Linked DNA regions of Elephas maximus indicus. The protein of the gene in region 2 purifies or fractionates together with the protein of the main gene of each other region. This does not show direct contact. Links are inferred from orthologs where the notes say so. Each region holds a gene or a part of one and is shown on either strand. Other genes may lie near its edges.

Region 1 (3,747 bases), on a different chromosome or scaffold from region 2:
GGAAGACTCATTAACCATCTGTGTTATGCAAATGACACAATCTTTCTTGCTAAAAGTGAAGAGGACTTGAAGCACTTACTAATGAAGATCAAAGACCACAGCCTTCAGTTTGGATTACACCTCAACATAAAGAAAACAAAAATCCTCACAACTAGGCCAATGAGCAACATCATAATAAATGGAGAAAAGATTGAAGTTGTCAAGGATTTCATTTTACTTGGATCCACAATCAACAGCCATGAAAGCAGCAGTCAAGAAATCAAAAGACGCATTGCATTGGGTAAATCTGCTGTGAAGGATGTCTTTAAAGTGTTGAAGAGCAAAGATGTCACCCTGAAGACTAAGGTGCGCCTGACCCAAGCCATGTATTTTCAATTGCATCATATGCATGTAAAAGCTGGACAACGAGTATGGAAGACCGAAGAAGTGATGCCTTTGAATTGTGGTGCTGGCGAAGAATATTGAATATACCATGGACTGCCAAAAGAACGAACAAATCTTAGAAGAAGTACAACCAGAATGCGCCTTAGGGGCAAGGCTGGCGAGACTGCGTCTTACATACTTTGGACATGTTGTCAGGAGGGATCAGTCCCTGGAGAAGGACATCATGCTTGGCAGAGTACAGGGTCAGCGGAAAAGAAGAAGACCCTCAACGAGGTGGATTGACACAGTGGCTGAACCAATAGGCTCAAGCATAACGACGATTGTAAGGACGGCTCAGGACCGGGCAGTGTTTCCTTCTGTTGTGTATAGGACTGCTAAGATCTCTAGGACATTTTTACTTTCACAACCTAAATCCGTGTTGAGAAGGTGGACAATGTAACTGTGTCCAGAGTTGCCCTCAATTTGGAAGTTGGACCACTGGTGCTAGGAAACCCTAAACGTACGAGGGAAACGGCCTGGGGTCGCCAGGAGAGGCGGGAAGAACAGAAATCCCGCCTGGTAGGCAGCGTGTCAGGAGCGCATTCCCGCCCGCCGTCAGCGCCAGCGCGCCGGCCGGGAAGCTCCTCCCCCGCCTTCCTTCCCTCCGCCCCGTGCTCGGGCTGCAGCGGGCAAGCGGGTGCGCGCTGCGGTATTTTGTCCCGCGCGGTGACCCCTCCGACGCGGGCTGCGGCTGCGGCGGGAGAACGGGTGCGCGCTGCGGTATTTTGTCCCGCGCGGTGACCCCTCCTCCACGGCTCGGCGGGCGAGCGGGTTGCGCTGCGGTATTTTGTCCCGCGCGGTGATCCCTCCTCCGCGGCTCGGCGGGCGAGCGGGTCGCGCTGCGGTATTTTGTCCCGCGCGGTGACCCCTCCGAGGCGGGCTGCGGCTGCGGTGGGGGAACGGGTGCGCGCTGCGGTATTTTGTCCCGCGCGGTGACCCCTCCTCCGCGGCTCGGCGGGCGAGCGGGTCGCGCTGCGCTATTTTGTCCCGCGCGGTGATCCCTCCGAGGCGGCTGAGGCTGCGGCTGCAGCGGCCGCCGTGGCGGTGGCGGCGACCGTGGCGCCGAGCGCTGAGCTGAGGCGCGGGTCCGCCCGGCGGCCGTGAGAGGTGGAGACTGGGCCGCCGTCTGGCGCGGCAGGAGCGGGGAACGCGGCGGACGCCAGGGAGCCTCGCCCGGCCGCCGGGAAGGTGCGGGAGGCCCCGCGCCCCTCCCGCGCTCCGGCCGCCGCCACCCGCCGGCCCTGCAGCCGCCCCAGCCTCCTCGGGCTCCGGCCCCGGGCTCGGCGGCCCTGGCCGGGGAGGCAGGGCGGCTGGCGCTCCCGGAGCCCCCGGAGATGGCGGGAGGGCACTGCGGCAGCTTCCCCGCGGCGGCGGCTGGCAGCGGCGAGATCGTCCAGCTGAACGTGGGGGGGACCAGGTGAGTCGGGCGAGGGCCGGGGTGCGGGCGGCCTGCAGGGCGGCGCGGGGCCCCGGGGGCGCGGGAGCCGAGCCGGCTGGGGGCGGGAGGGATGCGGGGCGGACCCTGAGCTGCCCCGGTCTCTGCTCCGCGAAGGGAGAGGCCGCGGGCCTCCTGGGATCGCCGAGCGCGCGGTGCGTACGGCCGAGTTGCCGCGTTCCCACAACGCCGGCTTGTTGCTCCCCTTTCTAAGGGTGTCACGCTTAACGCATTGCTGTTAAGCAAGTTGTGGCTCGTAGGGACCCTGTAGGGCAGGTAGAACTGCCCCGTAGGGTTTCCGAGGAGCGGCTGGTGGATTCGAACTGGCAACCTTTTGGTTAGCAGCCGTAGCATTTAACCGGTGTGCCACCAGAGTTCCCACAGGGGAACGTCATGCAGTCTTTTCCCAGTTAACCTTAGGGGTTGTTGCGGGAATTGATGTTGTAGATGCGGTGTGGCTGTTGCAGATGAACCTGCCTCCTTTTCTCTTCAGTCAGCAGGGAGGTGGTTTGCTTCAGCACGTAAGGATTCTGTGTTCTTTCCAGGAGGCCTGACTAAGGGCTGTTGGTAACCTCGAAAAATTTTTGCAAACGGAGTGCAGTATATTTGCAGACGGTCGTTATTTTCAGAGTCTCTTGGTGATCGGTTTGAAGGAGTTATTCAACTTTTAGGACAGCCTGTCCAGAAACTGCAGTTTGAACAGTTAGTTCTGGGAACCTTTGGGTATTGCCACAGTGTGGTGCAATCGGAGTAAACAGACTGACAGCTTTTAGCTGTCTGTCGTCTGGCCTTCCACTTCTTTCCTATGCCTTACACTAAATTTGATTAAAAAAAAAATTTTCATCGGGTCTACTCCAACTCATGGCGACCCTATAGGACAGTAGAACTGCCCCCTAGGGTTTCCAAGGAACAGCTGGTGAATTTAACCACTACGTCACCAGGGCTACTTTAAGCTTGTTAGGTTAAAAAAAAAAAAGTTGTGGATTTTCTATGGCTTATGAGTCACTCCTTTCAGAAAAGAGTTTGCCAGCTTTGTTTGAGGGAAGGGGGAGTTGAGTTTTACGCTTGGTGGATGAAAGATGAAGCGCTCTGGAGTTTAGTGTATTTTGCAGGGCTCAAGAATATGAAAGGCTTTCAAAGTGTAAGACTCTTTTGACTAATGTATTTAAAAATGCGAAATGACAACAAGGTGAATCATAGTAATAACAATGTGTAGTGTTTTAATCCTGAAATAAAATAATTTTGTAAGTATGTATGAGAATTCACCCCAAGAAACAGTAACACTTTGTTCTTTTCCTGGCCTTTATTTTCCCTCCTCCCCCAAAGCAAATGTTTTAAGAGCTTAAGAAGTTAACGACATTATAGCTGCTGCATAGATACCAGCCTGTGAAGGTATCTTAATGTAAGAAACTGATTTTCCCCCTAAAATTACATGAATATATGTACATCCAATAACTTACGGACACACACACACTCTGCAAGAGTAAGCCCTCAGTGTGTGTTAATACTGAGTAATGTTACAGTCATTTCGCATCCTTACACTTTTTTCTAATTGTTGTTGATTGTTAATATATTCCTTTTCAGGCATTCTAGAGGATATACAGTATCATGATCAAAGTTAAACAACGTTATTAATTAGTATGTATTGAATGTGGATGGCTTTGTGGATGGCTTTTTTTTTTTACTAATGAGTGAACTTTTTGGTTAACGATTGTAGAATTCAGTTTAAATTTCTAAATGGCAGAATGCAGTGATCTGGGAGCTCAGACATTTTACTTCATGTTTACGTTATTTGTGGAGCTTGATTTTATTAGGTTCTAAATTTTTTTTAAATGCATTAGCAAAGAATACAAAATGAGATATATCATGGTATTGGACGACTTAGAAGG
Region 2 (3,747 bases):
AGCAAACAACGACAGCAGAGTAAAAGAAACCTGTGCCTTACTGTAGGTGATATTGAAAAGATGGGGGAAATGGGCTCTTCTGTGCATCCCCATACACAGTAGGATTGGAGACGGCAGCTTTAGAATTAAAACGGTGCCTGACAAAGCTAGACTGAGAGGGCCTGTGATAGCCCTGTGGAATTCCCGAGATTCCCTGAACTGCTCAGAAGAGCTGTCAAACATCTCCCACACACACAAAGAAGGCATAGAAGATAGCTGAAAGAGCCAACGGTTCTGCAGATGCTACGATATCAGAACAAAAATATCACAATAGATGTCAGAATTTAGAAAACACTGGGAGACCAACTGGGAATGCAGAACTCTCAGCAACTAAAAACCCGACAGCTAAAAGCCTGACTAGGTCGTGCTCAGAGGCCACACATTTCAACAGTAGTCAGGGTAGAAAGAAGACCACTGAACGCCAGATGCCTGCTCTATCCCAGTCATGCACACACACACACACTCCAAGGACTTGAACTTATACACAACCCTGGGGAGAAAGTGACATGGAGAAATCTCTGAACTGGCTCAGAAAATCTGGAATTAACTAAGTTTCTGCCACCAGGAGGAATGAGGACCCAAGAGAAAATGTAACAGAAGTTATAGAAAAATAAAGCTACCTTTGTTTCGCAGATCTGAATTTTGAACTGGAAAATTCATGCTCACTACAAATGTTTGATGATTGAGTAAACAAATAAAAAAATGGGAGGTGGGGGGAGCTCTGCTGCAGTAAGCCCTTGGTGCACCAGTTTTGGCTATTCCCCTAAAAAAAAAAAAAAAATTCCCCTAGGAAGACAATAATTACTGAAAAGAATATCTGCTTTCTAGTCCTTACTCAGCCACTTACTATCTGTGATTCCTTGAGTAGGTTGCAAGTCTCTTTAGACCTCAGTTTTCTTATCTGTAAAATGGGGATAATGATACCTTCCCTGACATCTTGACAATGTTATTGTGAGGGTCAAGTGAGACAGCATGTGTGAAGGTGCTTTATATGGGGTTATAATAAGAGCATGTGGATCACCCCTGCCTTGTGGTCCAAGGACTAACAGAAAAGTAGATGGACTCAGGGATCAAAGAATTCTGTGGTACTCTACTTGTCAACCAAAACGTTCTTCTAGAATGAACAAGGAACAGTGGCTAAGTTTTCCCTGCAACCACATCAGAGCTAACTGGAGGATATCAAGGGTTACACTCTCAGTATCAGCCCAGCACACTTCATCAGGAAGAAATTCTCTGGATCCAAAACAGATTTGTTTTCATTGTGAAATAGTCTATCTGCTGAGCAACAACAAATTAAGCTCTGGGTGACTGTTCCCGTAAAACACGTCCTGTGCTTTACACTGCTATTATGGGGTGGATAGGCATGGTAAAGAATCAATTAAAACTCTGACACATTAAATGGAGTTCGAAGACCTGTTTCGCAGGTTTCCCCAGAGGAGAATAATCATGTTACATTACACTTTGGAAGCCGATCGAGGCAAGATTTCGGAGACAAGTTCTGGGGTTTACAAGACAGACTTTAGCTTTTCTAAATCATTTTTGAAGTGTTGTTCACAGGATTACAGCATTCAGTTCACTAGGCCAACAGCATTATGGTGGAGCAAGGGGGATTATCATCATACGGGCATCCTCCGGAGAACTGTAAGTTCCCTTCAAATGCATTTAAAGAAATGATGGAAATATTGCAGTATTCATATTTACGGTCATTTTGAAATGAAAGCGAGTGTTAAGCAAGTAAAGCCAGATACTTAAACTGAATTTCTTTTTTAGTTTTATAATACGGTTCTACCACAAAAGGGGAAGTCATTGTTTAGGAACTCTCAAAAGAAGTTCTAGAATTTCTAGATGTTCTAGATGAGCCTCACAGTGAGCGAGAGGGTCAATAGTAGAATATGAATAATTTTGTGGTTATCGCTGCTTAAATTATGCTTCTATGACAGTAAGGAGGAATGTTAATGGTAAGAACAATGTGTTTTTTGGCTAACTCAGACATCTGTGTAAACCATCTTCAGTCTCATTGCCTAAATAACTTCTGTCTCTCAACATGAACAAGAAGAAAAAAAATTGAGGTTAAGGCAGTATATTTTCAGAAGTGTTGCCTACAAATGAGCTTCAGCAGAAATAAAGAATTGAACAGGAAAAAAGCCAGCCAAGCGTCAGCAATAATCATTGTTGAGGGACAAGTAAGGCTTGCAGACGCAATCCATGGGTCAGGAAATGGTTTGGGGGACTCAGCTAACCCCCAATTTTGAGGGCAAATGCAGAAGCAAAGAACTAGAGAGAAAAAAACACCATGAGGATGGAGTGTTAAAGACATGCTTTCAAGACATTTCCCCAGAAGAGAGAGACAGCAAGTATGAAAAGGAAACCCAGAGTGTAAAGACAAGACCAGTCCTGCCCATTCAAGTGCTCAGCTTCAGTAAAGAGCAGGACATTTGCAGTGGAAATGTTCTCATGGTGCAGGAATCTGTTCAGTTAGGAAACTAAAACAGTTTGACACTTCCATATGTGGATTCTGCCCACAACATCTTTTCAAGGATGAAAAGGTGAGAAGGGGCTAGTTAGATGGAGGCTGGGGATACCAGTTTTGTTTTTTTGCTTTAATTGTGCTTCAGGTGAAAGTTTACATCTCAAGTTAATTTCTCATTCAAAATTTATACACATATTGTTTTGTAACATTAGTTGCAATCCCCACAATGTGACAGCACACTCCCCCCCGCCCCGCCCCAGGTTCCCTGCGTCCATTCGACCAGTTCCTGTCCCTTCCTGCCTTCTCATCCTGCTTTTGGACAGGAGCTGCCCGTTTGGTCTCTTATATTTGACTGAACTATAAGCACACTCCTCATGTGTATTATTTTTTGTTTTATAATCCTAACCTTTGTCTGAAGAGTGGGCTTTGGGAATGGTTTCAGTTCTGGGTTAATAGTGCGTACAGGTACCATAGTTTTGTGAGTTCCTCCAGTCTCTGTCAGATCATTAAGTCTGGTCTTTTTAGGTGAATTTGAGTTTTGTTCTACATTTTTCTCCTGCTCTGTTCAGAACTCTCTGTTGTGTTCCCTGTCAGGGTGGTCATTGGTGGTAGCTGGGCACCATTTAGTTTTTCTGGTCTCAAGTTGGTGGAGTCTCTGGTTCATTTGGTCCTTTAGCCATTTGGGCTAATATTTTCCTTGTGTCTTTGGTTTTCTTCATTCTCCTTTGCTCTGAGTGGGATAGGACCAATTTATGTATGTTAGATGGCCACTCACAAGCTTTTAAGACCCCAGATGCCACTTACCAAAGTGGAATGTGGAACATTTTCTTAATAAACTATGTTAAGCCAATTGACCTAGATGGGGGGACACTAGTTTCAGCCCAGTGTACCTCTCACTATAATTTTCCAAAAAAGACATTTTGGATCTTTTCTTATTTAATTTGCCATCTAAATCCTTAAGGCCCTTTCAATTGCTTGGACAAAGTTATTGTATGTGTTTTTTATTTATTTATTTATTTTGCCAATTAATATGCAAGTGTGTCTGCTGATGCTTTCTTAATCTTTGTAGAACAAGGGCCCCTCAGGGTTACTGAAATTGTGCCAGGACCTTGAAGCCTTGTGGTGCTGCCAAGGTCCTTGGGTTTGTGCCTGCCCTGTACTCTGCTATCCCATCCCCACCAACTTTTTCACCTCAAATACACACTCCCACTACACTGGGATTTCTCCTGTCATTTCAT
Region 3 (3,747 bases), on a different chromosome or scaffold from region 2:
CCGCCTCAGAGCCATGCGGTTAATTACTGACTTAGTTTATTTTTGCAAAACGTCAACCTCCTCCTCCCCTGCCCCGCATCCGCGAAGGCTTTAAATGCGAGGGAGCGTCAAAGCTCAAAACTGTCTTCCTCTCTCCTCTCCCCTCCATCTGTAAATGCCCTTTTATGAGGGGTGGGGCGAGGGGGAGCCCTCCCCCTGCATGCTTCTGGCTGGAGCACCTCCCTGGGGGTTGGGTGAACGGGTTGTGGGCAGCCAGGAGAAGCCACTGGGGCCTGAGGGTGTGGGGCGGTGTGACGGGCGCACACTGTAAGTACCTATAATAAATCTTTTGGCTTTGACGGTCTGTGATGGTTGGTTCTCTTTTTATCGGCCGCGCCAGGATTGGGGGAAGGCTGTAGGCGGGACCGCGGGTGCGGAGAATATCTAAATGGCTCCCGTGGTGTGGACTGAATTCGGGGTCCAAGCACAGGGTCCCGGACGAGGCACCTAGATGCCATACCTAAATAGGAGACCCTGGAAGGGATGGGGAAGTGTTTTGTTAACCCGCAGCAGCTAAGCTTCCCTAGAGTAGCCGCCGGGTCCGCCCCGTCCGAGCCAGTAGAGAAAGGCCCTTTAAGGAGGCGGGCATATTAGCTGTGACGAGCGAGGGCACTATCCAATCGCCGGCGGCTCCAGGGCCCACCGACCCAATGAGCATGCGGTGGGGGCGGGGTCTGGGTGCACACGCGGAAGCTGGCACAGGCTGGCCGGCTCGCTTAGGGGCCATGGCAGCAGCGGCGACTGCAGCTGAGGGGGTCCCGGGTCGGGGGCCTCCCGGGGAGGTGATTCACCTGAACGTGGGGGGCAAGAGGTGAGTGTAGAGGAGCCCTTGGGGTCGGGGAGTGGAGTGGGAGTGCCCGCCTCTCCTGGGGGGAATCCCTGTCCGTCAAGGATTGCCCCGCCCCCTTCTGGAGGCGCGAGAGCCTGGAAAAGCACCGGGGGAGGGGAAGAAACTCGCCTGATCCTGGGGGAGGGGGGTCGCATCCCTCCAATTACCCCTATCAGCTTATGCGTCCACTCACCCTCTCTGCCCAGATTCAGTACTTCCCGTCAGACTCTCACCTGGATCCCAGATTCCTTCTTCTCCAGGTGATCGGGAGAGAGAATTTGGGGTGGGAGGGGGAGAGGGGCGAGAAGGGAAGGGATGGAAAGACCTAAACTCTCCCGCCCGTAACACTTGCTCTGGGTACCCTCACTTCAGTCTTCTAAGCGGACGCATCTCCACGCTAAAAGATGAAACAGGAGCGGTGAGTAAGACTAGGGGAGGAATTGGGGGGCCGGTAGGAGGAGGGGCAGGACTCCCCACTCGGCCCGGCTCTTTGCCCTGTCCATCCTCTGCCCCCCTCTCCCACAGATCTTCATTGACAGGGACCCCACCGTCTTCGCCCCCATCCTCAACTTTCTGCGCACCAAAGAGCTAGACCCCAGGTTAGCATGGAGGGCAAAGGGAGGGGGTCCCCCACCTTCTTCACTCCCTGAGAAGTCTCTTCTCCCCCTCAGAATGTTCACTTAAGCTTCACTGTATTAGAATTCTCATTCAGAATCATATTAAATTGCTCATATGAAAATTATATGCCCCCAGAGTCCACACACACACACACACACACACACACACGCACACATCCAACCCGCATGTCTTTACTCAGAATCTTGATCCCGTCAGAATCGGTGCCCCTGGGGATTCTCCGTGCAGATTTGAAACTTCCTTCTCAGAATTCTCTGCCCCCTGTCCGCTTCCCTCGTCCCTCAGACCCTGACTCCTAGTTAATTCTACTACCCAGGGGTGTCCACGGTTCCAGCCTCCTCCATGAAGCCCAGTTCTATGGGCTCACTCCTCTGGGTAAGTGGAGGTCCGAAATTAGCATTCTCATTTGCATAGAACACCAGCTTTCAAGTGAATCTCCTTGATTCCTCCCTGCCCCTCTTCCCCCTCCCTCGTGAAAGAGGGTTGAGTTAGAGCTGAGAACACTGGCTTTGGTCTTGGGTCCGAAAGTAGCGATGGTATTCTGTGGGGAAAGAGCTGGGGAGGGGAAAGGAGTCTGTTTCAGTACCCCCCCCCAAGTCCCAGCCTTAGAGTTGTTCTCTCTCAGTTCGTCGCCTGCAGTTGCGGGAAGAGCTGGATCGATCTTCTTGTGGAAATGTCCTCTTCAACGGTTACCTACCCCCACCAGGTGGGCACTCCTTTCAAATGGATGGGGTCGTGAATTAAAGACTACATTTCCCTCGGGCCCGCTTCTTGGATGCCTGTGCCGTTAGCCCTGGGACATAATGGGAGTTGTAGTTCTGCATCAGATGCTTGGGCTGATCCTGGGAGAAGTAGGAAACTGCATTTCCCATGAGGCATTGGGCCATCGAGTCTTTTTTTTTTGAAGCGCAGAAGTGTGCCCCAGGGCCTGATGGGAGTTGTAGTCCAGGTTTGTTTTCCTTGTGGGGAGCCTTAGGAAGAGCTAGGATCCTTTGCATGGAGGGGAGAAATATTAAAGGAGAGTTTGTGACTACTACCTTCTTGAGACCCTAGAGCAGCTAGCCCGCTGGCCATGGAAAATATGCCCCAGGGGTTGTTGGGAACTGTAGTCCGCTCATATCCCGGCTCATAGCGACCCCATAGGGGTTTCCAAGGCTGTAAATCTCCGCGGAAGCAGACAAGCACATCTTTCTTCCGGAGCCGCTGGTGGTTTCCAGCTGCCAACGTTTCAGTTAGCAGTTGAGCGCTTTCACCACTGCAACCAGGGCTCATACTAGGCTTTGCTTGTTGGTGGAAGGAACAGAGTAGGGAAATTGTAATTATAGCTTTACTTCTCTAACCTCAGTCATTACCGACTGCCTTAATGCGGTACCCCCAATGTGAAAACCTGTGCTATTGTTTTATTAAGTTAGGTTTACTTGGCTTTCAAAAAATATTCGTTTAAATACAAACTTTGTACCAGTGCTTTTATACCACAAATAGGAAGTAAACATGAAAAATAAACTCAAAGATACGGTAGTTGTTGTTAGTGCCATCTTAGTTGCCCTCAAGCCAGCTTCAACTCAACAGAGTGAAAAGTTGCCTGACCCTGCCCCATCTTCATGATTGTTGGTAACTGGACAGTTTTCTGCTGTGATCCATAGGGTTTTCACTGGCTAATTTTCAGAAGTAGATGGCCAGGTCTTTCTTCCTTTTTTTCTAACCCAAACAGTGTCATTGAATTCTGGCTAGATGCTTTTGCCTCCCAAGGGCTTACCTGCTCTCCATTTATTCAAAAGGAAACATTAGGGAGCGTTAAGGAGCCCTGGTTATCCCTGGCTGCTAACGGAAAGGTCAGCGGCTGGAACCCATCAGCTGTTCCTCAGGAGAAAGAGGTGGCAGTCTGCTTCTGTAAAAGATTTACAGCCTTGGAAACCCTATGCGGCAGTTCTACACTGTCTTATAGGGTTGGTATGGGTCGGAATCGACTCACCAGCAACAGGTTTGGGGTGGTTTTTGTTTTTGGCTATTAGCAAGTGTTAGAGAGGCTTCGTAATGGCACCAAACTAAGTCTTCGTCTGTGGCTGGACCCGAGGCACTAAAGAAGGAGTAACTCGCCGTGTGATTTAATACTGTTGAATGCCACGTCCCTGCACCACCTAAAATCTCCTCGCCAGGGGGCTGCGCGCCCTGCTGCGTGGGCGGGGAGTCAATGGCATATTTTAAGTGTTTGCCACGGCAGTCACTACTGTGGTCATTGATAC

What was found.
Region 1: the proteins of PTPN3 (region 2) and KCTD3 purify together in Homo sapiens (affinity purification with mass spectrometry; 4 studies listed by BioGRID and IntAct, with this or other methods). This does not show direct contact. The link is inferred for Elephas maximus indicus from reciprocal best matches to the Homo sapiens genes PTPN3 and KCTD3.
Region 3: the proteins of PTPN3 (region 2) and SHKBP1 purify together in Homo sapiens (affinity purification with mass spectrometry; 4 studies listed by BioGRID and IntAct, with this or other methods). This does not show direct contact. The link is inferred for Elephas maximus indicus from reciprocal best matches to the Homo sapiens genes PTPN3 and SHKBP1.

The regions. Positions count from the first base shown.
Region 1 is NC_064842.1:4,530,049-4,533,795, forward strand, and holds the start of KCTD3 (BTB/POZ domain-containing protein KCTD3), read left to right. Parts: upstream 1-1,073; 5' UTR 1,074-1,757; coding exon 1,758-1,840; intron 1,841-3,747. UniProt on the Homo sapiens protein: Accessory subunit of potassium/sodium hyperpolarization-activated cyclic nucleotide-gated channel 3 (HCN3) up-regulating its cell-surface expression and current density without affecting its voltage dependence and kinetics.
Region 2 is NC_064827.1:59,014,723-59,018,469, reverse strand, and holds the start of PTPN3 (tyrosine-protein phosphatase non-receptor type 3), read left to right. Parts: upstream 1-1,511; 5' UTR 1,512-1,631; coding exon 1,632-1,680; intron 1,681-3,747.
Region 3 is NC_064829.1:111,083,996-111,087,742, reverse strand, and holds the start of SHKBP1 (SH3KBP1-binding protein 1), read left to right. Parts: upstream 1-736; 5' UTR 737-764; coding exon 765-850; intron 851-1,074; coding exon 1,075-1,128; intron 1,129-1,240; coding exon 1,241-1,286; intron 1,287-1,393; coding exon 1,394-1,467; intron 1,468-1,820; coding exon 1,821-1,879; intron 1,880-2,129; coding exon 2,130-2,210; intron 2,211-3,747.